Oryza sativa Japonica Group: one gene and its partners. The main gene of each other region encodes a partner of the protein of the gene in region 2 in a complex. Links are inferred from orthologs where the notes say so. Each region holds a gene or a part of one and is shown on either strand. Other genes may lie near its edges. The genes, in order: sm-like protein LSM7, sm-like protein LSM2, sm-like protein LSM8 and sm-like protein LSM5.

The links.
Region 1: sm-like protein LSM2 (region 2) and sm-like protein LSM7 share a complex: the UniProt entries of both Arabidopsis thaliana proteins name them as parts of the heptameric LSM1-LSM7 complex. The link is inferred for Oryza sativa Japonica Group from reciprocal best matches to the Arabidopsis thaliana genes LSM2 and EMB2816.
Region 3: sm-like protein LSM2 (region 2) and sm-like protein LSM8 share a complex: the UniProt entries of both Arabidopsis thaliana proteins name them as parts of the heptameric LSM2-LSM8 complex. The link is inferred for Oryza sativa Japonica Group from reciprocal best matches to the Arabidopsis thaliana genes LSM2 and LSM8.
Region 4: sm-like protein LSM2 (region 2) and sm-like protein LSM5 share a complex: the UniProt entries of both Arabidopsis thaliana proteins name them as parts of the heptameric LSM1-LSM7 complex. The link is inferred for Oryza sativa Japonica Group from reciprocal best matches to the Arabidopsis thaliana genes LSM2 and SAD1.

What each region holds. Positions count from the first base shown.
Region 1 is NC_089042.1:4,609,694-4,615,471, forward strand, and holds sm-like protein LSM7, read left to right. Parts: upstream 1-2,358; 5' UTR 2,359-2,518; intron 2,519-2,620; 5' UTR 2,621-2,656; coding exon 2,657-2,659; intron 2,660-2,781; coding exon 2,782-2,863; intron 2,864-4,171; coding exon 4,172-4,243; intron 4,244-4,606; coding exon 4,607-4,659; intron 4,660-5,068; coding exon 5,069-5,155; 3' UTR 5,156-5,375; downstream 5,376-5,778. UniProt on the Arabidopsis thaliana protein: Component of LSM protein complexes, which are involved in RNA processing. Component of the cytoplasmic LSM1-LSM7 complex which is involved in mRNA degradation by promoting decapping and leading to accurate 5'-3' mRNA decay.
Region 2 is NC_089042.1:3,158,370-3,163,793, forward strand, and holds sm-like protein LSM2, read left to right. Parts: upstream 1-1,840; 5' UTR 1,841-1,988; intron 1,989-2,234; 5' UTR 2,235-2,273; coding exon 2,274-2,276; intron 2,277-2,405; coding exon 2,406-2,564; intron 2,565-3,192; exon of another isoform or gene 3,193-3,334; intron 3,335-4,938; coding exon 4,939-5,058; 3' UTR 5,059-5,342; downstream 5,343-5,424. UniProt on the Arabidopsis thaliana protein: Component of LSM protein complexes, which are involved in RNA processing. Component of the cytoplasmic LSM1-LSM7 complex which is involved in mRNA degradation by promoting decapping and leading to accurate 5'-3' mRNA decay.
Region 3 is NC_089039.1:29,807,202-29,812,668, forward strand, and holds sm-like protein LSM8, read left to right. Parts: upstream 1-2,436; 5' UTR 2,437-2,569; coding exon 2,570-2,609; intron 2,610-2,714; coding exon 2,715-2,755; intron 2,756-2,848; coding exon 2,849-2,923; intron 2,924-3,897; coding exon 3,898-3,950; intron 3,951-4,087; coding exon 4,088-4,178; 3' UTR 4,179-4,438; downstream 4,439-5,467. Other genes in the region: 26S proteasome regulatory subunit RPN13, read right to left, coding at 16-54, 242-301, 438-530, 1,314-1,337; pathogenesis-related protein 1, read right to left, coding at 4,519-5,115. UniProt on the Arabidopsis thaliana protein: Component of the nuclear LSM2-LSM8 complex which is involved splicing nuclear mRNAs. LSM2-LSM8 binds directly to the U6 small nuclear RNAs (snRNAs).
Region 4 is NC_089039.1:18,938,674-18,944,424, reverse strand, and holds sm-like protein LSM5, read left to right. Parts: upstream 1-2,198; 5' UTR 2,199-2,344; coding exon 2,345-2,381; intron 2,382-2,512; coding exon 2,513-2,636; intron 2,637-4,103; coding exon 4,104-4,176; intron 4,177-4,277; coding exon 4,278-4,313; 3' UTR 4,314-4,591; downstream 4,592-5,751. UniProt on the Arabidopsis thaliana protein: Component of LSM protein complexes, which are involved in RNA processing. Component of the cytoplasmic LSM1-LSM7 complex which is involved in mRNA degradation by promoting decapping and leading to accurate 5'-3' mRNA decay.

The DNA of each region.
Region 1 (5,778 bases), about 1.5 Mb from region 2:
GAAAGAAAAAAAGTGCTGCAGATTTGTAGCCCAGCTATAACACGAACTTTAAGATAAGATATTGTGTATGTATAAAAAGTAGGCCAAGTATTAATGGTGCAATATATGTTTATATAAAACTATACAGAGGCTATTAAAGTGGTTGTAGATGATATCTAAATTTTTAGGGAAAGAAGTTGGCTACACTATTAAACTCGCTCTAAAACGAAGATATGTGATAAAGATGAATAATATTTTTTATGAAGAAATTTTATGCTTCTAAGGGCCGGGTACAATTGAGGACGGAGAAAAAGTAGCGGCAAAAAAAAACTAATTACCTTTAAAATTAAATTCTAAAACTCAAAAACCACAGCTTAAGGTCCTTTTTGTTTATTCAATAAAAGTTGGATGTAGGGGCGGAGCCAGGATTTTGAGCCACTAGGGTCATAGTTTTTACTTATACTAATGTCGTGTTTAAAACTCTAATTATTCTCAAGAATTATTTTGAGCTACTTTCGTGTTTAAAATGACATTAGCTCAAAATTATTTTGGATCTAGAGCTATGAGGAAGTTGGGATTGTTTCATTTTGTTAAAAAAATGTTTAAACTCTATATTCTATAAGAATGTAGGAGTATTTTTAAGGTCCAAAAAATTAAAAGTTAAGACTATAAAACTAGGCATATCAACCATGTGTTTTTCAGACATAAAAGTTTGTTCTGAAAGTTGTTTATCACTTCCTCTATCTCAAAATACAACTACCTACTCTCTTTTTTAAAACATTAATGTTAGGGTGAGAAATAGTTATGGTTGGTTGAAAAAAAAAGTAGGTGAAAAAATTAAATCAGAAAAATTGTGATTGGTTGAGATGGAACGGTTCATAGAAAATTCTATTAGTTGTATTTTATGATAAATTTTAATATTAAATGTAACATATTTTGAGACGGAGTTAGTAGCTTAAAAAACACATCTAACATCTAGTAGTTGATTAGCAAAACTACAGGCCTAATGCATTGATATACACAACTCATAGCTAAAACAATTAGTTGGTTAATATCTACTTTAGATTTGAAACATAGTTGACAAAAAAAAACTTTAAAAAAATTGTCATGGTTTGGATAGAGTTCATGAAAGAGTCAACCCTTCTTCTATTTTCGTTGATTTTTAGTATAAAAAATCCATTTGCCCCCATTAAGATATAGTAATTTTTATGTTGGTTTTTATTATCATACTTTTCAAATTGCTAAACAGTATATTCCATGTGAAAACATTTTATATATAAGTTATTTTAAAATACATGATAAATCATTATTTCAACTTAGTAATAATTAAAACGCAACACTTTCTTGTTTTTCGTACCTAACTTTATCTCTACCTTTAATAAAACAAGATAATCTTTTTATTAGGAAAAAATATTATTATCTTCGCTCCAAAATATATTAACTTTCCATTATAAATCTAGGCAACATTTTGGGACAGGGTAGTATCGTATATTCAATTGTTCTCACTAGAGCAAAAATAGTTCAGTTGTTCATCACATTAATTGCGCAAATCCTAATTGGCGCGCACGCGCCCCTGGCGCGCACGCGCCGGCCCACACGTCTCATCCTCAGCCATTCTCAGCGCTTGCGCTGGCGAGACGCGCGTTTATTTTTTTCGGAATTTTTTCTCTATACGTATAAAACTGATTCGGTTAGTTCTAGGTAATGATAATAATTAAGATAAGATTTGTCTTTTTTCCGAAGATTATTTTAAGTAATAAATTGAAAAGAAATATATATGTGAAGTCAAATTCTAAAAACTTTCAATCCAGATTTGAAAACTTTCAATCTAGATTTGAAAAGTTTTTGAAGTTAAATTTTAAAAACTTTCAACTTTTCATCCCAAATTTAAAACTTTTCATCCTAGATTTGAAAAATTTCAAGCCAGATTTGAAAACTTTTAACTCAAATATAAAAACTTTCAACTCAAATTTAAAAACTTTCAATACAAAATTTAAAAACTTTCAAGTCAAGATTTGAAAACTTTCAAGTCAATTTTGAAAACTTTTAACTCAAATTTGAAAATTTTCAACTCAAATTAAAAAACTTTCAATACAAAAATTAAAAAATTTCAAGTCAAAATAAAAAACTTTCCAATTCTACATTTGTAAAGAGGTGTGCAAAAGATTAAAAAAAAATCGGAAAGAAACGGAGGAAAAAAAACGCGCTCAGAGAAAAAAAAAGAGGTGCGAACATGAAAAAAAAATGTACTGCGTTTTTTTACACGGTAAGCGCTAGGGTTAGTAGGAACACGCGCGGCTTCCCGTTCTGGCGCGTGCGCGTGCAGTAGGAACACCCCATTAATTGGGCTTCAAATCATACACATTGAAGCAATTAGGCTTCATCTCTAAAATGGGCTGAAGGCCCAATAAGAAAAGTCCTCCTTATACCTCTATAAAGTGATTGCGAGAAAAAGAAAAAAAAAGAAGAAAAAAAAAGAGAAAAACACAACACCATCAACCCCCGCATCCGCCACCGCCGCCACCACCCCCTAACTCCGGTAAGCCGCCGCCGCCGTCGCCGGCGGGCGCCGTGTCTTCTCCCATCCGTCGTCTCGGATCTTGCAGCGAAATTTGACAAAGTTTCCCTCCTTGCCTCGCAGATTTGAAGCGACCAGAGGCCGCGGCTAAGGTCCGGGATGGTAAGTTGTAAACCCTCTTCTCCCCTCCTGGGGTTTCGGGTGCTCGATTGGATCGATCCCGGGTGCTAGTTCTTGGTTTGGTTTGGTGGGATTGATTCCGGTTTCGTGTCTTGGTGGAGCAGTCGGGGCGCAAGGAGACGGTGCTGGACCTGGCCAAGTTCGTCGACAAGGGCGTCCAGGTCAAGCTCACCGGCGGCAGGCAAGGTTGGTTGGTTTCATCACCAGTTTAGGTCTGGATTCTTGAATACTCGTAGATGTGGGTATAGTTTTGTGCCAAGAAACCTCAGTGGCAGGGGCAGGAAATCCTAGGTCTGCAGCAAAATTGTAGAGTAGGGTATAGCCAGCTCGAACAGCCTCATTATAAGTGAAACGGTTTAATTAGCGATTAAAAATATAATTTATGGGTAAAACTTTTATATATGAGTTCTTGGTGATTTAAAAGCAAATGCTGAACAAAAGAAACTACGATGAAAAATCACCAAAATCAACTCTATAATAGTTTTAAAATTCAAATTTTCACTTACGCTTATAAGCTGAAGGCTAAATGATGGGGTTGGAAGAAGCTACTAATTATTTCAGTAAAATTCACTGTGCGCATCAGCTCCAGTCCACAGTAATGATCTGAGATGTCGAGCGCAGCATCCATGTGGCTAGTTTTAACATGTCCTCTGAATGCTTATAGCACATAATTGTGAGTTTTCAAGCATGGTGGTTGGTAAATTAAGGTTTTGTCACAAATTGGTCATCTTTTAGCATTTCTTGTGATGGATCCTGCTGTCCAAGGGCCATCCGCCACCCAGTTAAAATTAACGAGTAGCAACTTTATCAATTGACACTTCCTAATTCCTTAATATTCTTTCATAATGAATAAGTCTGGAAATGAGCTCCGCTCAATCCCTTAAACATTGATTCCAGTGTTCTGTATGATACCACATATAAACCAGCATTCCACTTGCATTCATTCAGAATTTCAGCAACACCAATATGTGCATGTGGAGAGGATTTGGCCCTACTAGAAGCTTACCGCCTTCTCTTCCAGTTTTTTACTTTCAATCTGTATGCTCACAGATACCAGATTCTGTGATTGCATATTTTTGAATTACACCTTGTATTCTGTTTGTAGCTAACCTCATCTAGATAGTGAAGGCACTCTCATGGTTGGCTATCCTGATAACTATATGATGACTTTTCACCTTTATTTTTTTTCTTTTTTCAGTATCATTTTACGGACAGAGTGGTAAAATATCATATGCTAACTGTATATTGAAATAGAAACTCCGTCAAGCAGATGAGCGGCCCCTTATGTAATATCTTAAGTTTTGACATTGTTTATAGTAGTTGCAAGGAGGTTAGCCATTAGCATTGATATTAAGATAAAGATTGAAAATAGACTAAAAAATGACAGTAGAACTGTTTCAATTTCCAGAAAACTCGTTTTTGTTATCCTGCAGTTTGTTATAATACACTAATACCACATCACAGGCCATAACTTTGGTATTTCTACATCTGCAGTTACAGGGACTTTGAAGGGCTATGACCAGCTTCTAAACTTGGTGCTTGATGAAGCGGTTGAATTTGAAAGAGGTACTGCTGCATATGTTGATACATTGCATTGTTTTGTTTGATCCCCATTGGTTTGGAGTTTTGAGTATAAATCACAAATCTATGTATTTGGAATCTTAACTAAGAAGAAATTTCCATCCTTCATGCATCTTGTATGTTTATGTGGTGCTAATCTACTGTTATGTACAAAGAAGATTGGGCTGGAATACAGCATAATAATTACACATAGACTAAATTTTAGTTTTCCCATTGTCAAACAATCATGACTGGAGGGAGTACTACTTGCTAATGTAGGTGTGGTACAGTTGTAGATAACAAATGCCTTATTAAATCTTTTCCTGCAAAGTTTAGTGAAGCTCTCATACATACTTTCTCATTTTGTAGAGCAAGATGATCCATTGAAACTATCAGGGAAAACCAGACAGCTTGGTCTTATTGTAAGTTTCTTTGCAGTATTGATTTCAATATCCAGGACTGTATTGATTTCAATATCCAGGACTTATCTTTGTCCTATATTATTTATATTGCTTGCCGATTGTAGTTCTGATAGTTCTTTTCTCTAATACACGAGATGTGTGTATCATTTCATTAAGAGAAGGAAGCTCTGAGAGTTTTTATTTCCATGCTATACGATTATTTTGCACTTTGCTGAAATCTGCACTAGTTTTTTTTTTTTCTGGAAATGTTGATTCGATCAGATTTACAACAAAACAGTGATTAAACAAAAATAATCTCAAAATCAAGAGCTTGGTTTCTTGCAAACTACTAGTTTGTTTCTGCCATTTGATTTCTTTTTGGCTGGTTTCATCATCCTGACACCTCAGCTCCAACGACTGTTTGTTGCAGGTCTGTAGGGGTACAGCGGTGATGCTTGTATCGCCAACCGATGGAACGGACGAGATTGCCAACCCCTTCCAATCTGATGGTGCATAAACCTGCAGGAGCTGATGGTTCTCCTAGTCAAGATCCATGCTCTCCCAGTAGAGAGGCCTTTGTATTAACTCATGTAATCTGGTGCCACAGTCTCTTATGACTCGTGTCTCTTATGAACACCAGGTGGTGGTCTGTTCTGTACCACTCGAAACTGATTTCTGAAGATCCTTGCTTTGTGTCAGATATATGAATCGCATTATGCTCTTGTTCGGTTTGTTCATATACTGTGCATGGTTGGTTTCTTTGCTTGGTTCAGCTTTCACCTTTGCCCCATCTGTGACTGTGAGCTTGCTTGCAGTCTCTTCTGCATAAACTGCGTTTGCAACAGTCGGAAAAAGACATGGAAAAGAACAGAGTTAATTTAGGCATTTGAGTGACCTTCCGTTTGGTGGCTGTTCCTGCATCAGGTGATTCAGATCATTACCTTAAGCAGCCATGTGAAGCTTCATAGATTGCATATTCTTCTGCCCTGTTTAGAATGAGTTCCTGTTCGGATTGTGTATTATTCAATCGACAGTAGTGACAGGAATCTGTTACCGGATCATCAAAATCTGCTCACGAGCGATACCATCAGATTTCATGGAATCTGTTACTAAACATACAAACTGGTGAAATCCAAATAA
Region 2 (5,424 bases):
AATATTATCATTGACATAATTATGCATAAAAAAACGTATATTATTATTAGAATTTATTCACCCGTTGCAACGCACATGCATTTTTGCTAGTATATATAAAAAATCCAAAAGTTGGGTATGTAACCTTAGTTCATCTCGCTCTAGAGATGCAACTAATCCAACTACACGAATAAAACCCGCTCGTTACTTCATTTCCCACATGATAATTTGGAAAAAAAATAAATTAAAAGTAGGATAAGCGAAGGAAATAAATCCCGCACGATAATTTTAGAAAGAAAATAAATTAGAAGTGGGATAAGGGGAGGAAAAATAATCCCATTTACCAGCTTCTCTTGCATCCCTGTCTCACTCCCTTTTTCTTTAGGGGCAAAATAAATTAAAAGTAGGATAAGTGTCAGAAATAAATCCCACATGTTAATTTTGGAAAAAAAAATAAATTAGAAGTGAGATAAGCGGAGGGGGAAAAATCCCGTTTACCCGCTCCACTTGCATCCCTGTCTCACTCCCTTTTTATTTGTGTGAGAAAAAAATCACATGAGATAATAAATAGGGAAAATATACTTTGACTCCCTCAACTATTGCCCGAGTATAATTCATATCCTCCAACCACAAAACCGGGTATATTGACTCCTTAAACTATCAAAACCGGTGTAAAAAATGCCCCTTGGTGGTTTTGGCTGACGTGGTGCCTACGTGGCGGTCTTGAACGAGTCTTTGTCCAACGTGGCGCTTACGTGGCATTAGAATAAAAACAAAAAAAACATGTGGGACCCATATGCCATTCACACAAAAAGTGAGACCCACTGACATGTGGGACCCACATGTCATCCTCCCCCCCTCTCTCTCCTCTCTCCCTCCCTTATCTCTCTCTCATGGTGGCAGTGGCCAATGGGGACGAGGCGGAGGGGAGCGGTGGCGGCGGTGACGGCGGTGGGGAGCGACGGCGGTGGCGGTGGGGACGAGGCGGAGGGGAGCGGCGACGGTAGCGGTCGGGAGGAGGAGGAGAAGGCGGAAGAGGTGGTTTACGGGGACGATTGTGGCGGAGGAGAGCAGAGGAGGAGGATGAGGAGGAGGAGGAGGGCGTGCTTCGTGCTTCAGGGAGGAGCTCGTGCCGCTGCCGCCGCGCTAGCCAGCCGCCGGTGACGCTGACTCCGACCCCCCACGGGGGCGGCTCCCCTCTCATACCCCTTCCTCCCTCCTAGTGGCCGCGGGCCATAGCCGCGTTCTCCACCGCCACCGTCGCCGCTCCCCACCACCTCGTCCTCACCGTCATCGCTGGCGCTGCCTGCCACCACCGCCACCAACGCTCCCCTCCGCCTCGTCCCCATCGGCCACTGCCACCACCGCCGCTCCTGAGTCCCGAGAGAGAGAGATAGGAGGAAGAAGGGAAGGAGAGGGAGGATGACATGTGGTCTCTCATGTCAGTGAGTCCCACTTTTTTGTGTGAATGACATATGGGTCCCACATATTTTTTTTGTTTTTATTCTAATGCCACGTAAGCGCCACATTTTTTAATTTTGTTTTTGTTCTAATGCCACGTAAGCGCCATGTTGGATAAAGACTCGGTCAAGACCGCCACGTCAGCCAAAACCACTTCCAAAACCACCGAGGGATATTGTTTATTTGTTTGCACCGGTTTTAATAGTTGGAAGTTGGAGGACATGAATCATACTCGGGTGATAGTTGAGGGAGTCAGAGTATACTTTTTTCCTAATAAATAAAGCTATATGGGCCTTTCACCCTAACCCGGCCCATAATAATATGGTTTGGTCCTATCTCATACCCAACACCCAACCCAACCCAACCCAACTCCTCCTCCTCCGCCTTCTCGCGCTCTTCTAGGGTTTTGCCTCCTCCCGATCCGGCTGCCGCGCTTCCATCTCCGGCGGTCCGGTCTATCCTCTCCGCTCCTTGCGCCTGCGCCGATCTCCATCTCGCTACCAGGGGAGGGGGAGAGGCGCTCGCCGCCGTCGTCCTGCTGCTTCTTGGTGAGCATCCGCATCCTCTTTTCTCATTCATCTCCCTCTCTCTCTCCAACCCACCCGCTTTTGTGTCCAATTTGCTTGCCTGCGTTAACTGTATCTTCTCTTCTAGATCTGGGAGAAGCTGATTTTCTCTTAATTTGATAGCCTTAAACCTTAATAATAGGACTAGAAGTTTTGTTTTTATTTGCCCCTCAAAAATGTTTGGGGATCCCGTCCACTGGGTGCTAATCCTGCCTCTTGCGTCTGCAGATTCTTCGGAGCTAAGGCGGGGAGGGTTCTGCGGCCAGTATGGTAGAATATTTTTTTTAGTTTTTTTTGTTCAACTGCTCGTTGATTTCTTCTCTTCCCACTTCATTTTTTTTGTTCTGTTAGTTTGTGTTGATTTTTATTTTTTGTTCTGTTGATTTGGTTGCTGTGCAGCTGTTCTTCTCCTACTTCAAGGAGCTCGTGGGGAAGGAGGTGACGGTGGAGCTCAAGAACGACCTGGCCATCCGCGGCACGCTCCACTCCGTCGACCAATACCTCAACATCAAGCTCGAGAACACTCGGGTTGTCGACCAGGACAAGTACCCGCACATGGTATGCGATGCGATGCGATGCTGCTCTGGTTATCTATCTATCTGTCTGTCTCTGTCCTGGTGAAATATGGATAGCAATTAGCCGCTTGTTTGCATGGGTACTTCTGTAGATATATTGACTCTGCAGCAAACACAGTGTTTCTTGGTTCTTTACGGTGGTCTTCTGTAGATATATTGACTCTGTATGCTTTGTTCTCTGTTCAAGATAGATTTAGGAAGTTTTCATGGTTTTGTACTTCAATATGCATGTGCGTTTGTGCATTTGCTATGGTTTTTCAGTTGATTAATTATTCACTTCTTTTTACCGTGTTTACACATTTTTCTATTCCAAATTAGCTTGAACAACACACATGTACATGTGGCAACTCAGTCAATTTGATAAGGTCAAAATGGTCAAATAGGACTATAACATTTTTTGTAATTACTATTATGTACTACCTCCGTCTTGAAATGTAACTACTTTTGGCTGTGAATGTGGACAAGTACTTGTCCAGAGTCATAACCAAAAGTAGCTATATTTTGACTTAGTAGTATTGAAGAACTTCAAGGGGCTATTCATTAAAATGTAGTTCATGGAGGTGGGGTCGCACTGCCTTCTTTCAAAAGGATTTATACATAGATATTGGTTCATGCACGGTGCTAACCCCGGGCTTGTCAGAATACTATCCTCTGAAGGAGCCCCAATGCCTGTGCTACATCTTCCATGCCATTCAGTGTTGCAGATCATGATGCTTCTTGTGATTGGTCTGTGTCAGATTAATGGATACATTCAAAATCACCTCATTCTACATGATTTCAGATTTCTTCTCTTCTGTTTGCATAGCATGTACTTGTCATCTGTTGATTTATTAATCTGTTAAAGGAGTACCTTTAGCATGATCCTTACATGTTTAGTTAGTGCTGAATGCTGTATCACAATTCAGAATGGTTGCACGTCTGACATGTAGTTGCATAAGTAAAAGAAGTACGATATGGATATGGATCAGGTAACACTCTCCGTTAGTAACTAGGAGCTCCGTCAGTTGGCCAAGAGCTGACTATATCCAAAAATTGATTTGTGGGTAAACTTTTATATGTCTTCTTAGCAACTTAAAAGCCAATGTTGAAAAAGAAACTAAGTTGAAAATACCCTAAAATCAACTCCAAAAAAAAAGTTCTAAAATTCAAATTATGGCAGCAGCTGATTCTTCTTTGGGCATACAGTGAGGCCCAAAATGTCAGTTATAGGATCCCAGTATCCCACAACCAAGAGTATGCATAAGGAAGATAATAATAACCATCTTTATAAACCATAGTAGATATTACTCTTCATTAGATCACTTGTTACTCTCTGTTGTTTTGGGCATGGGCCAGGCCCATGCAGCAGTTTAGGCATGATAATTTAGGAATAGTCAAATAAAGATAGGAGAGTATCTAGTTAGGAAAGAGATGATGTTTATTAGAAAGTTATAGATAGATATTGGATTGGTTTCTGTAGTACTAGAGATTAGTTCCTTGGATGTCAAGTCTATCCTCCTATATATAAAGGGACCCCATATACCCTATAATCAATTAATATCTGAAGTTAGCGCTAAGCCTTAGAGTTCTAATCAATGAGTCTTTCAGCTCAGCAGGGAGAAGTCCTGCCGCTGCTATTAGAGGGCGAGTGCCCTATCCCCTGGTCTTCAGACCCTTACCTTAGCCAATCCATAACACAGTGGTGTGTTGACTCCAATCAATGGTTCTGTAGTAAATGTCCTGAAGTAGTCACCAGCTAATGATAAAAGGCGGTATGTCTAAATGTTTGTAGAACAAACTTTGGGCTACATTGACATGAATTTAGGAATTAATGGGGAGTAGATCATATAGTGGTATACCTAGTTCGTGACATGCCTTACTGGTGCAGAATTAGGAGCTTAAGATGCACTGGTAATTCCAGTGCAAATACTGTTGTAACCAGGCAAGCACATTACTTGACAGGGACAACCAGTATCCGTACCTAGATATTTATTTGGCCTTCAGTTCCATCCAATGATATTGTATGAAGGGTGTACTTTTGTACTGCATAGGTTACTAAAGATTGCTTGTTAGTTGTTACAAGTACATGATGCCTGAAGTAATCCCAAAGGAAAGCAAAGCTATAGATCAATGTTATATACTGTGTTTTGTAGGTCATGATAGTGATGGAAAGATTCATATCCTTTTGTTATCTTTGCTTGCTGAAACAATCTTCATACTCTCATTGCTTTACCACTTGCACCTGTTAATTTCTATTGTTAAAAATACAACAACGCACCTGTGTTCACTGTTCTATATGGAAGAACTACATTAATCAAGCACTAACACTTTACAAAGAATTCATTTGAGCATGCTGACTCAAGCTTTCGCTCTGGCAGCTATCCGTGCGAAACTGCTTCATCAGGGGATCGGTGGTGCGGTACGTGCTGCTTCCCCAGGATGGCGTCGACATTGACATCCTCCATGATGCCACCAGGAGGGAGGCTCGCGGAGGCTGATGATCCACACCGTATTTTCGCCCTTGGAGGAGCCCTAAATCTGATGTATGGGGGACATGTATGGAGTATGGTGTGACAGACAGCAATATTGACAGGGAGTTAAAAAAGTCTGTAGCAATTCCTCCTGATACTTGCAGTGACAAAACTATCCAAAGATTGCATTTGGCGATGCCATATGCTGCTTCCCTTTCTTGTGTACTCCAATCAATGTTTGTTAGATCAACGGTGCCCATTGGTTAGTTGAGATGTTTTTTCAGGCCATGTTCCTGAGAACAGGCTGCACATTTGCATGTTCCAGTTCAGCAGATTGTTGTTGACCGGTCAATGATCAATGACTAGAAATTATTAGGCAGAATTTGGATGAAT
Region 3 (5,467 bases), on a different chromosome or scaffold from region 2:
ACCTATATTCAATACCTTCTCAAAGACAGCCTCCTCAGGGAAGACAATTTGATCCTGTGAAAAGGGAATCAAGGATATACAAAAGTACGATAATTTCCTAGGATATACACAATGGAAATCAGGAGAAACAGACACAGCCAAGTTCAAAGTTCAAACATACGAGTCATACAAGTACAGTATTTGCAGATTAAAAAATGAGTGCACGATGACTACTAACTACTATCTATGCTCGAGAGGATACAACTTCAACTAGATTCTGTCCACGATCAAGCCATTGAAAATGAACCAAGCCTTCTTCACCCTACAAACAAGTGGATATGTTAACTGCACTGCAAATCCCCATAAAATATGAGAATGCAAATGGCTTATAAGTTATACTGGACAAATAGAAGTACAGAACTTCAATTCAAGATAAGTATGACTTTTAGCATGCATACCCTTCCTATGCGAACAAGACCCTTGCGTGTGTCTGGGATCACTCGTGTTCCATCAAGGGACATCTTACCCGCACGAAACTCGCACATGATATCCTGACAAACACATGAGAGATTGTTTTTAAATAGAAGCTCAACACCTTGTTATATCATAGCAGAGATAAATGAGATGGCAAAAATAAATATATAGGTCATTAAGATTCTGAATAAGCACAAGATCTTAATTTGAGATAGATCAATAAGCACCATGCACTGCAACAGAAAATTAACTCAGTTCACTGAACTACTGAAAGCTCACTATACACAACCTACATTTCTTATCAGAAGATTTTCTTGCTACAAATTGCTAGCTAAATATTTTGGCCTTTTAGAGTGCAGGCAAAGATTAACAGAAGTTCTATCCCAGTTTTCTGAAAAGAACTAAAACATAAAGAAACAAACTGCCTAGTATACAAAAGAGACATCTATGTTTTTTTTTCTTTTTTTGTATCATGTACGATGAAAAACTGGTCCAAACATGGTTCAGGCCTTTGTACATATTACACACAAAACAGCCCATTAACATGGTACTACCAATGCCATTTTCTGTCAGGCTTTCTTTAACCAGCTGGCTCACTTGTCATACACTCAATTACTTGGCAAGATTTGCGAATAGTTGAGAATTTGTCCACCACAAAAGACAACCTCAATTATCCTTTTGGCAAAGTGTTGATACCAACCAAACAGCCCATAATGTCATTTTAGATGGAACTTGCAGCAGCTAAATCATGATCTCAAATCAACAGCAACCGATCATCGCAGTTAAACACTAACAGGAAATTCGGTATTTGAAAAAACCAATACTTGCAGAAACACTAGAAGGCAAAGTGAGGAGTTTACCTGTAGGGGCTCTGTGCTCTCCATTGATTAAAGAGTGGCTACCACAAGGTGCAGGCCCTAAAACAGGCAGTAAAAAGGACAGTAAAGTATTGGACATAGAACAAAATCAAGCAAGTGTGAAGTATAATAGGTTATCAGTAACTAGTTGTCAGAAGTGTACTGCATGCCAATTGAGATGAACAAAAGGTACTGTAGTCTGAAAGTAGTAGCTGCCTTTAGAACTTTGTGCATATGAGAATGAAAACATTATGCGCATGTGTTGGTAAAATACAGAAAAATGCACTTGTGAAGGATTAAAGAAGACTAGATCTATAAATTTATGTACACTAGAGTCTTTGTTGTGCAGTATTTGCATCTTCAAGTAGCACGTAGGCAACTGACAAATTAGTATTTACATAAAGAAATTCCTGCGTCTGCGTGCTTGTAGATTTGTAATTTGTAAGGTGGTTTCTTTGGGCTTTATAAGATATTATTACTGCATTACTTTTGTGCTGCTGTAGTGTTATTTCATAGTGGAGAACCAACGTGACCCAAAAAACGGCGAAGACTAGCCAAAAACCCTAGCAGCTAGCAAGTCGCATTAACATAAAACTCGTCAATGATTAGCTTGTTTGCAGGGGCTAGTTCCTTACAGGATGGTGCAGTGTTTTATGTTTGTTTATTTTTTTTTCTTACATGTAGATGTAAGCAAGGAGAGCAAAATAGGTGGGTGATCTATAAGATTTTGCTGGTAAGGACCCAAGAAAAACATGAGCAATAAAATCGATTGGAGCAGCCGTCCTAGAAAGAGAGATTTGGATTGGAGAGAGGAACAGGTAGGGCAAGGGAGAAGAAAATATCTTAGAAACAATGGAGCAAGAGTTGGTCACCACTCAGTCACTCACCAACAAGTGGGGGATTACGGAGGAGGGCTGGACGTCGTCGTCGTCGTCGGCGGCGGCGGCGGGACGGGAGGAGAGGGATTCTCCGACGCGATGTGATGTGATTTGGGGAGGCGATGACGACGGGAGGGGGAGCAGAGAAGGATCTCTCATGGTGGGCTGGGCTTCTCTTAGCTGGGCTGGAGAGGCCCGCCCACGCATTTGATGGCCCATATAAAAGCCCGCTCGGCAACTCCAAAGACGAAGTTGAGCTAGGGTTTTCAATCTCTTTCTTCTCTCCAAAACACAAATCGTCGCCGCATCCCCTCAACTCCGGCGATCCCCTTGGCGGCGGCGGCGGCTTCCCCAATCACCCCACTCCACCTGAACTACAGGATGGCGTCCGCCGGCCCGGGGCTCGAATCGCTCGTCGACCGTGAGTTCATCCCTCTTTTTTTTTTATCTCATCTCACCCAGCTACCCAAGATTCTCCTCCTCCTACTATTACTAGTGATAGATGATGTTTTTTTTTTCTCTCCAGAGATCATATCCGTCATCACAAACGATGGCCGCAACATTGTGGTGAGCCCCTTGTTTGATCTACTCGTACACCTTTTTTGTTTTTTTTGGCTCTCGCTAATACTCACTCGAATTGCCCTGCCTCCGCTTCGTCAGGGGACACTCAGAGGATTCGATCAAGCCACCAACATCATCCTCGATGAGTCCCATGAGAGGGTCTATTCTACCAGGGTAGGGTTGCTCCCAACTCTTTCTACGCTTCTTTCATGCTATCTTGCAAACCTTCAATTAATTTTACAGCAATATCAATATTTCACTAAGCTAGTACTATATGCCCTGATAATCCGGCAACACACACTTTACTTCCATCTTCATAAAGTTATGTTTACAAGGCGGTCATACTTACAGTTAGTTACTCTGCTAAATTTTTCTGCGTTTAGAATCTCTACCACAGTCTGTTTGGCATTTTCCATAGAGTTGCCTGTTTGCTAAGGCTACAAGTTCAGCCACACAATTTTTTTTTGTTATTCCAGTATGTCCTTGTTAATTGTGACCTTCTCCCTGGTTTGCTGTCAAATGCTCTCATTGGTTCACTAGTGCAGAATTCTGCAATCAGCAATAAGTTTCTCTCATGGTGCTTGAAAGTTAGTTGCCAACATGTATTACACAGTACCCTTTATGGCTAAACACAGATTGTTTTCAAAGATGGCTCTCTTTCATGATGGTTATAAATGTCATCATGAAGTAATGAGTTCATATTGTTGACTGTTCGTATCTATCATCATGTCTACTGTCAGTATGAACTGAAGTTCGTTTCCTGCAAAATAATGAGTTTATACTGTAACATGTTTTAGCTGAATTTGTCATAACAGCACCTTTTTCTTCAAGGATTGGTTCGATTAATTCTACCTTGTGCACGTTCAATTTTTCAGAAGTCATATTATTTTTTGTCTTCAATAGTTAGGTATTGGAATGTCTTTGTTCTTTATGGTGCAGAGTTGTTGTTCTAACAATTTGCAGGCAATGTTGACTATGAATAGTTATATGTCTCGTATCATGCACCTCTCTATTGAATATGGGATATGCCTTCTTAAGGACTAGGGGCCAATGCCTTTAAATTGTCATGCTTTTAGTTTGTGGCATGTGCTGTTAGTAGTACAGTTGAAATTTTGAGTAGTGATGAGAGAAATGTGTTGTACCTGCAGGAGGGAGTGCAACAGCTTGTTCTTGGGTTGTACATCATAAGGGGCGACAACATGTAAGCTATTTCCTCAATTGTCGTTTGAGCTGTTTATTGCTTATTAATTACCTGCATGGAGGTCGTTTATGGATGTGTTATTTTGTTTGGTGGTGTGCCTAACTGAAGTTGAATCCGTGGGTGATGCATATTTACAGCAGCGTGGTGGGGGAGGTGGATGAAGAACTGGATGCGAGGCTGGATCTATCGAATCTGAGAGCGCACCCGCTGAAGCCCGTGATCCACTAATGGAAACGAATGAATGATGTACTACTACTAGTAGTAAGCTAAACCTAAATGTAGTGTTGTCCCAGAAGTTGTGAAGAAGTGGGTGCTAGTGTTGCCGATGAGTGAACTTCTTTAACGTACGCGAGGAAGTCCAGCAAGCGGATGAGCGAGCATGAAGAAGAATGTTATGGTTTTATGTGGTGGTGGATGGGTGATGCATGTTTGTTGAACACGAACACAGACACAGTGACTCAGTGAGTGAAGATTTGGTTTCCATTGTATTGTATTGTTTGTGCAGCTGTATCAATGTACATGAATGAGGAAGGCAGGCAGGTCAGTTGTTGAAGAGAAGAAGAGCATATTAGGAGTAGGTGGGAGGGGTAGCCGGCTGGTGCTGCTCGTCTTTGAAGTAGTTGCAGGTGATGAAGACGCCGCCGTTGAAGCACTCGGCGCGGGCGCAGCCGATCCTGGTGAAGTTGGGCCTGACCATGAAGGCGAAGTGGCCGCACTCGTGGAAGTCGACGCCGGCGGTGCATTTGCCGGTGTCCCTGTCGTAGAGGTGCTCCTCGTCGCCCCAGCATCGGACGGCGTCGGAAGCCCTGGCGTTCCAGCCGTTCCTCCCGATGTAGAGGCTCTCGGCGAAGCTGTTGCCGGTGGAGTGGCGGATCTGGCAGTCGCCGCGCATGGCGTCGGACCACCGCCGCGCCTGCCTCGCCAGCTTGTTATCCCACCTCATCGGCTGCAGCCCGTAGCGCGCGCGCAGCTGGTTGTGGCCGTCCACGAACTCCCGCGGCATCCCCTTGTACCAACCCATCCCATTGGTCCACGACACCAACCACCCCGCTGGTGCCGATGCTGATGCGTCGTCGTTGAACCAACACATCGCGTCGCCCACAGACAGCAGCAGAAACCAACACAATAGCAATAGTAATGGGAGGATCATCGCGGCGGCGGCCATTGTCTGCCGTCGTCCCGACGAGGACGAGGCCGCCCGCCGATCCGATCCAATCCAATAGTGCTAATGGGCTTCTTATATCCTAGCTCATCTTTTGCCATTTGCTTTTCTTGGATTTGCCTCTCGCTCTTCCAACCATAAACAACGAACTAATAATGCCAATGCCAAGTTTAGGCAGTTTTTCTTTTCTTCTCTGCATCGATCATATCATCATATCGCACGGCCACTCTGTCCAAACAACAAAGCCTAACCTCCCCGGGCACTGGCAGGGCAGCTGGCTGGGCTCTGGCTCTACCAGCTTGCTGCCTGCCTGCCGTGTCTCGTCTGCTTCTACAACTACGGAGCACCTGTTTGC
Region 4 (5,751 bases), on a different chromosome or scaffold from region 2:
CCCCCTCTCCCGCTCCCCGATCCAAGAAGAGAGTGGGGCGCCGAGCCGGTGATCCGTTCTTGATCAGGGAGGGGGACACGTAGGAAGGGGGACGAGAGGGCGCGGGGGTGTGAAGTGTTAACTGGCCGGATTGTTTTAGTGGGCACAGCGCGACGCGAAGGCGATGGAACGAGGCGGGGGCACACGCGGCGACAGCTCGGCGTGCGGGTAGGCGCGTGGTGGAGATGGGAGGAGAAGAGGAGCTCGTCGGCGCGGGCTGGCCTAAGCCATGGGCGGATGTGACTGGGCTTTTTGGTCAGGTGCGGTGTCGTGCTGGTGCTGGCCACATCACCACATCGGTGGTCGGCCATCTGGGCTGGGTTTTCAGTGGGCCCACCGCTTTGTCCAATAATTCAATTGGGCCAAGGCTGTCAGAGAGGCCGACTAATAAATTCTGTTCGAAATTGAGCCTAATTTATATCTTTTGAATTTAGGCCCAACTTATATTTCTTTGGAATGAATAAGCCCAACTAATCAATAATATTATTTTCGTGGAATAAGTCCACTTTGTCTCCCCTAAAAGTGACCTAAATCTAATCCATGATCATAAATCGCAAAACCGGATATCTCGGCCCCCGAACTATTAAAACCGGTGTAATTTGACTCCCTTTGTGGTTTTGAGGGCGGTTTCGCTGACGTGGTGCTTAGGTGGCATTTGAATTAAAAACGTATATGTGGGACCCGTTTGTCATTCACACACATAAAAAAATTGTGGGGCCACCCACATGTCCTGCTCTCTCTTTCTTCTTCCTCCCCTCTTCCTCCCTTCTCTCTTTCTTTCTCTTTCTCTTCTCCCCCCTTCGGTCGGCCACGGGGAGCACGGGCTGGAGTGGCAGTGGCGGGGGCTAGAGTGGTGGTGGCCGGCGAGAGCTGAAGCGACGGTAGCGGCGGAACTGTAGCAGCTTGCTCTGGCTGACAACCAATTGACCGACAGGATTCCGCCGAAGATGGTAGAGATAGGGAGGAACCCTGCTCCGACTTTCGAGAAGAACCGGAGGGATGTTAGCGTGCTCGCACGCCTCCCCCGCGCACCCCGCCGCTGAAGGGGGTAGCTTCCACGCCACACACTCCAGCGCCCTCCCCCTAGCCCTCCCGCCTGTCACCGCCGCCGCCGCTTCGGCTCCCACCCACTGTCGCCGTCCCTGCCCGTCGATTGCTCCACGAGAGAGAAGGTGAAGAGAAAAGGGGGAGACATCAGCTAAGATACCGATTCCACAAAATCCCCCTTGGCCGTGACCCGTTCAAGGATTCATAGCTTCTCTTACGCGTCGTCTTGCTGTCAGTCCAGCGCCGGTGAAGGGTACATGACTTACAGTCATGGCGGTGGCGGCGCTCGGCTTTGTCACCCTCCTCGCCTTCTGTTTTTTGGGTTAGTTACTCTGAATCTCTGATTAAGATCGTCTTTGTTGACAACACATACTATATCTCAGTGCTATAACTCGCTTTGATCCTTTACATTGATGGAACAGCGCCGGCGGCGTTGATGTTGGGGTACTACCACGACTCGCCGGAGCTAGTCGTCGTCGGCTCAGGTTGCTCGAGGCTCGTGGAGACGAACTCGTTCATTGTGCAGGACATCAAGGTGATCATCCTCCCGTAGCTCGGTTCTGCACGAGCTCAGTCGAAGAGTGTTTTAATGTGTGCACTCGCTCTTGCAGGCGAGGACGGATGGAGGGTCGCCGGAGAATGGGTTGGTGCTCTACGGGATGCCGGTCGCTCCGCCTCTCGGCATCCCAGCCGCTTGGTCGGAGGCTCGCCGCGCCGTCGTACCAGCCGATTCCCACATGTCATTTTTTTTGTTTGAATCACATATGGGTTCCACAAATAATTTTTTTTAATTCTAAGCCACGTAAGCGCCACGTGGGACGAAGACTATGTCAACATTGCCACGTCAGCGCCACATCAGCAAAATCGCCTTCCAAAACCACGAAGGGAATCAAATTGCACTGGTTTTAATAGTTCGGAGAGTCACCCTATCTGATTTTACGGTTGAGGGTTATGGATTAGATTCGAGTCACTTATAAGGAAGTTAAAGTTGACCTATTCCTATGGTGCTTGAAACCTAGCAAAAGAAAAAAAAAGTGTGATATCTAATCGACGGCTGATTGCTCGATCGGACGGTGGAGAATACGTCTCGTGGGTGGAGTCGGCTAGGGCGCAGCGTTCGCAGTTGGAATCCTCCACCCAAAGCAGAAGCCTCCGCCGCCGCAGCGCCGCTACTCTTGCATCGCCTCCGCCGTAGCCGCGCGCGCCCTTCCCGTCGCCGCTTCCACCTCGATCTCCGCCGGAGAGGGCGTCCGCCGCCATGTCTCAGAACAACCCCTCCCAGCTCCTCCCCTCAGGTGCGCGGAAGAAGCTTCGCTTTAGTTTCTTATAAATCTCGCATCCTAGCTTGCTAACTTTGTTCCAGATAGATTTTGTTTTTTGGGGTTCGAGTTCTTGATTCAGTTCTTGCGGGCTTTGGTTTGTGCAGAGCTGATTGACCGCTGCATCGGGTCCAAGATTTGGGTGATTATGAAGGGTGACAAGGAGCTCGTCGGCACTCTCTGTGGGTTCGATGTGTACGTCAACATGGTGCTCGAGGACGTTACTGAGTAGTATGTGAAAAATCTTCCAATTCTCAACCCTATTTATTTTTCTACTTTCCGCGCCAGGTTTTTTTCTTGTAGGGTAATTTTGGTGTCACAGTCGTAGGGTAATTTCGGTTTCTTCTGATTAGATTCTTAGATTAGTTTAGCTCAGTTTCTCACATTTGTGTCTCAGTGTGCTGATATTGGAATTAGCTAAAATATTTAGAAAACATTGTTTGATTTTCTGAGAACTGAAGTACAGAAATATTGCCCACCTTATGCCAGATTGCTCCTACCTTGTTGCTTTGTTGGTTACTTTCCTCCATGTCATCAGGCAGATTTCGTATAACATGAGTTTGTATTATACTACCAATCATCATAGTTGGTATAGTGCAAGCTATTTTTGATCCTTTCAGTACTCATGTCATGATTGTTAACCCATTGTGTGCTTCAATTTAACTCACACAGACTTGGTTTCATGAAGTTACATAATTATAACATTTGCTGCTCTTATCAGTAATTCAGTATACTTAATATAACTGAAGATTTTATTTGTTGTTTAGTACTTAAGGTGTAACGCAATCACTAGTCTGTCTGTTCTAAGATCAACTGATATGAACGCTTGATTCCAAAGAAGCTGCAGCAGTGGAACACACTGTTTTGTAGGATTTCTGCTGCAGTAACATGTTCATCGTTGTAGTTAGTATTGTCTTGTTTGGGAATATTATTTCTCGCGGAAGGGAAGACAAGCTCTTTTCATCATGATTTATATGGTTATTTATTTGTGGTATAGGACAGAATGATAGTTGATAGCTAGGAGGGAATTGGTCATGTAAAAATGACTAAAGATATTTAGCAGATGGTGGCAGTAGGTTTCCATGAGTGTTATACTGATGCATCATGTATTTTGTGCTAGCTCTTCACAATTGTTGCATTAAGTTTATACTAGTCCTCCCAGGTGTTGATGTATTACTTTGTTTTCCCCGATATTACAATGTTCTATTATACCTGAATTAGTTCTAGAAATATTCATATTCAGTATCTTAGTAGTTTGTAGAATGCACATGTGGATGTTGTAACTATGTTCTTAAAAAGAGAGGTATTTCCTAACAACAAAAAATATCACAAACATATACTGCAACATAATGATGGTTGTTGAGCCATCTTGCAGAAGGGGCTGAAGTGAGCGTGTTTTAGAGTTTGTGTCATCTGATTATATACCATGACTGAAATCTATATGATCTGTTGATGTGCAATGTTTCACTAGTCCCCTAATAAAATGCTGGACCTAATGGTGGAATTTATTCCTATTAGCTGAATATGAAGTTACCACCATCACCCTTGCCAAACTAATGTATCATCTAGGAAATCACTTAGCAAAACCATACTGATGTTTATTAGTTTTTTTCACTTGCACATTTAGCATATGTATATGTTCAATATGAAATTATAGTCTAATGTTTGTTGTTTCATGATCCTCTGATTGTTTTATAGTGAATACACTGCTGAAGGCCGTCGCATAACAAAGCTTGATCAGATACTCCTAAACGGCAACAATATAGCTATTGTGAGAAATCTTGATCAAATACTTGTAATGAATGGTTTGGTAAAAGTTCGGTGTGACCTGCTATGTCTAACGCTATTTCATCTTTTGTTTGGCCTATACAGTTGGTTCCTGGTGGTTCTCCCCCAGATGTGGCATAAGCAAGCACTTCCGTGATATACCTGCTTGAGGCTGATGGAGGCACAGACCGGTGTTTCCTTACTTCAAATGTATTTCTTCCATTTGTGGCTGTACTGAACTTTCTTAGTTAACTGACCTGAAGTAGTGTACCTGCAACAGTTGCTCCTACATGATTTGGCAATGCTAAGTATGAGGTACCTCTTGTAGCTGTTTATTACCATTCTTCTGCAACCTGACTCAGTAAACACTAGGTGGTTGAAGAAACCTGATAATGGAGAGCATATCTACAATTGTTGTATTTGTGGTTCAGCAGTGTTGGACTTGATAATCTTTTTGCTGCATGCTTCCCTACATGTCTCTTTCCTCCTAGGAGCTATGTTAAATCTGGGATTAACGCCTTCTCTATGAGATAATGTGCCACTAGGAAAAAAAATACTGTATTTAATCTGAGGCGATCATGATATACAGTCACTGTACCCTAAAGCTCTGCCATCCGTTCATTCTCTGCATCTTGCAAACGACCGTAGCTTATCTTACACCCATGGCAGCCGCTCTTAGCTCCCTCAAGTAATGGACGGTAGTACGGTACAAAATTTCTTGGTAATGGACGGCACCAAATATATTTTCGCGACTTTGGGGGTGGGGGTGGGTGGGTGAGGAGCATATCGCTGTGATTTGGCAGTAATAGAAACTTAAACATCATGACTTCGGGGGTGGGGGCGGGTGGGTGGCAGTAAAAGAAACTTAAACATCATGAGTGACTTTTTTTTTTTGGCAGTAAAAGGAACTTAAACTGAATGACTTGGGGTGCCATCGTACGAGTCTACGGTTTTTTGTATACAATTGGACTTCAGGAATGGTTTGTGTGATTATGTTAGTTAGGGTGCCCATACAATCAGCTCTATTTTGCTGCTTCACACATCGTGTGATTTTTGTATACAATTGGACTTCAGGAATGGTTTGTGTGATTATGTTAGTTAGAGTGCGCATACGATCAGCTCTATTTTGCTGCTTCACACACCGTCACTCGATGTCACACCGACGCCGCTACACCGCTGTTGCTTGACACACCTAATTATTAGTTATATGACGGCACCGCCATTGCTTGACACTCCCAATTATTAGTTATATGACACGCTATTGCTTGACACTTCCGTGTGATTATGTTAGTTAGGGTGCGCATACGATCAACTCTATTTTCATGGGCAGAGCTACCATGATTCCTGGGTATTCCCGGGAATACCCAACTTATTTTTTTTTATCAAAAAGCAAGTATACTTCTAGTATATACACATGTACACATATTAGTGCACCTAAATCCTCAATTCTTCGATCCATACACAGCCCAACCGGCCTCTTGCAACGCCTCCTACCAACCCGACCCACTCCGTCATGACCCATTTATCATACATCAGTTGACCCATTTAGCCACCACTCTTCTAGACGGCCCCCTCTCAC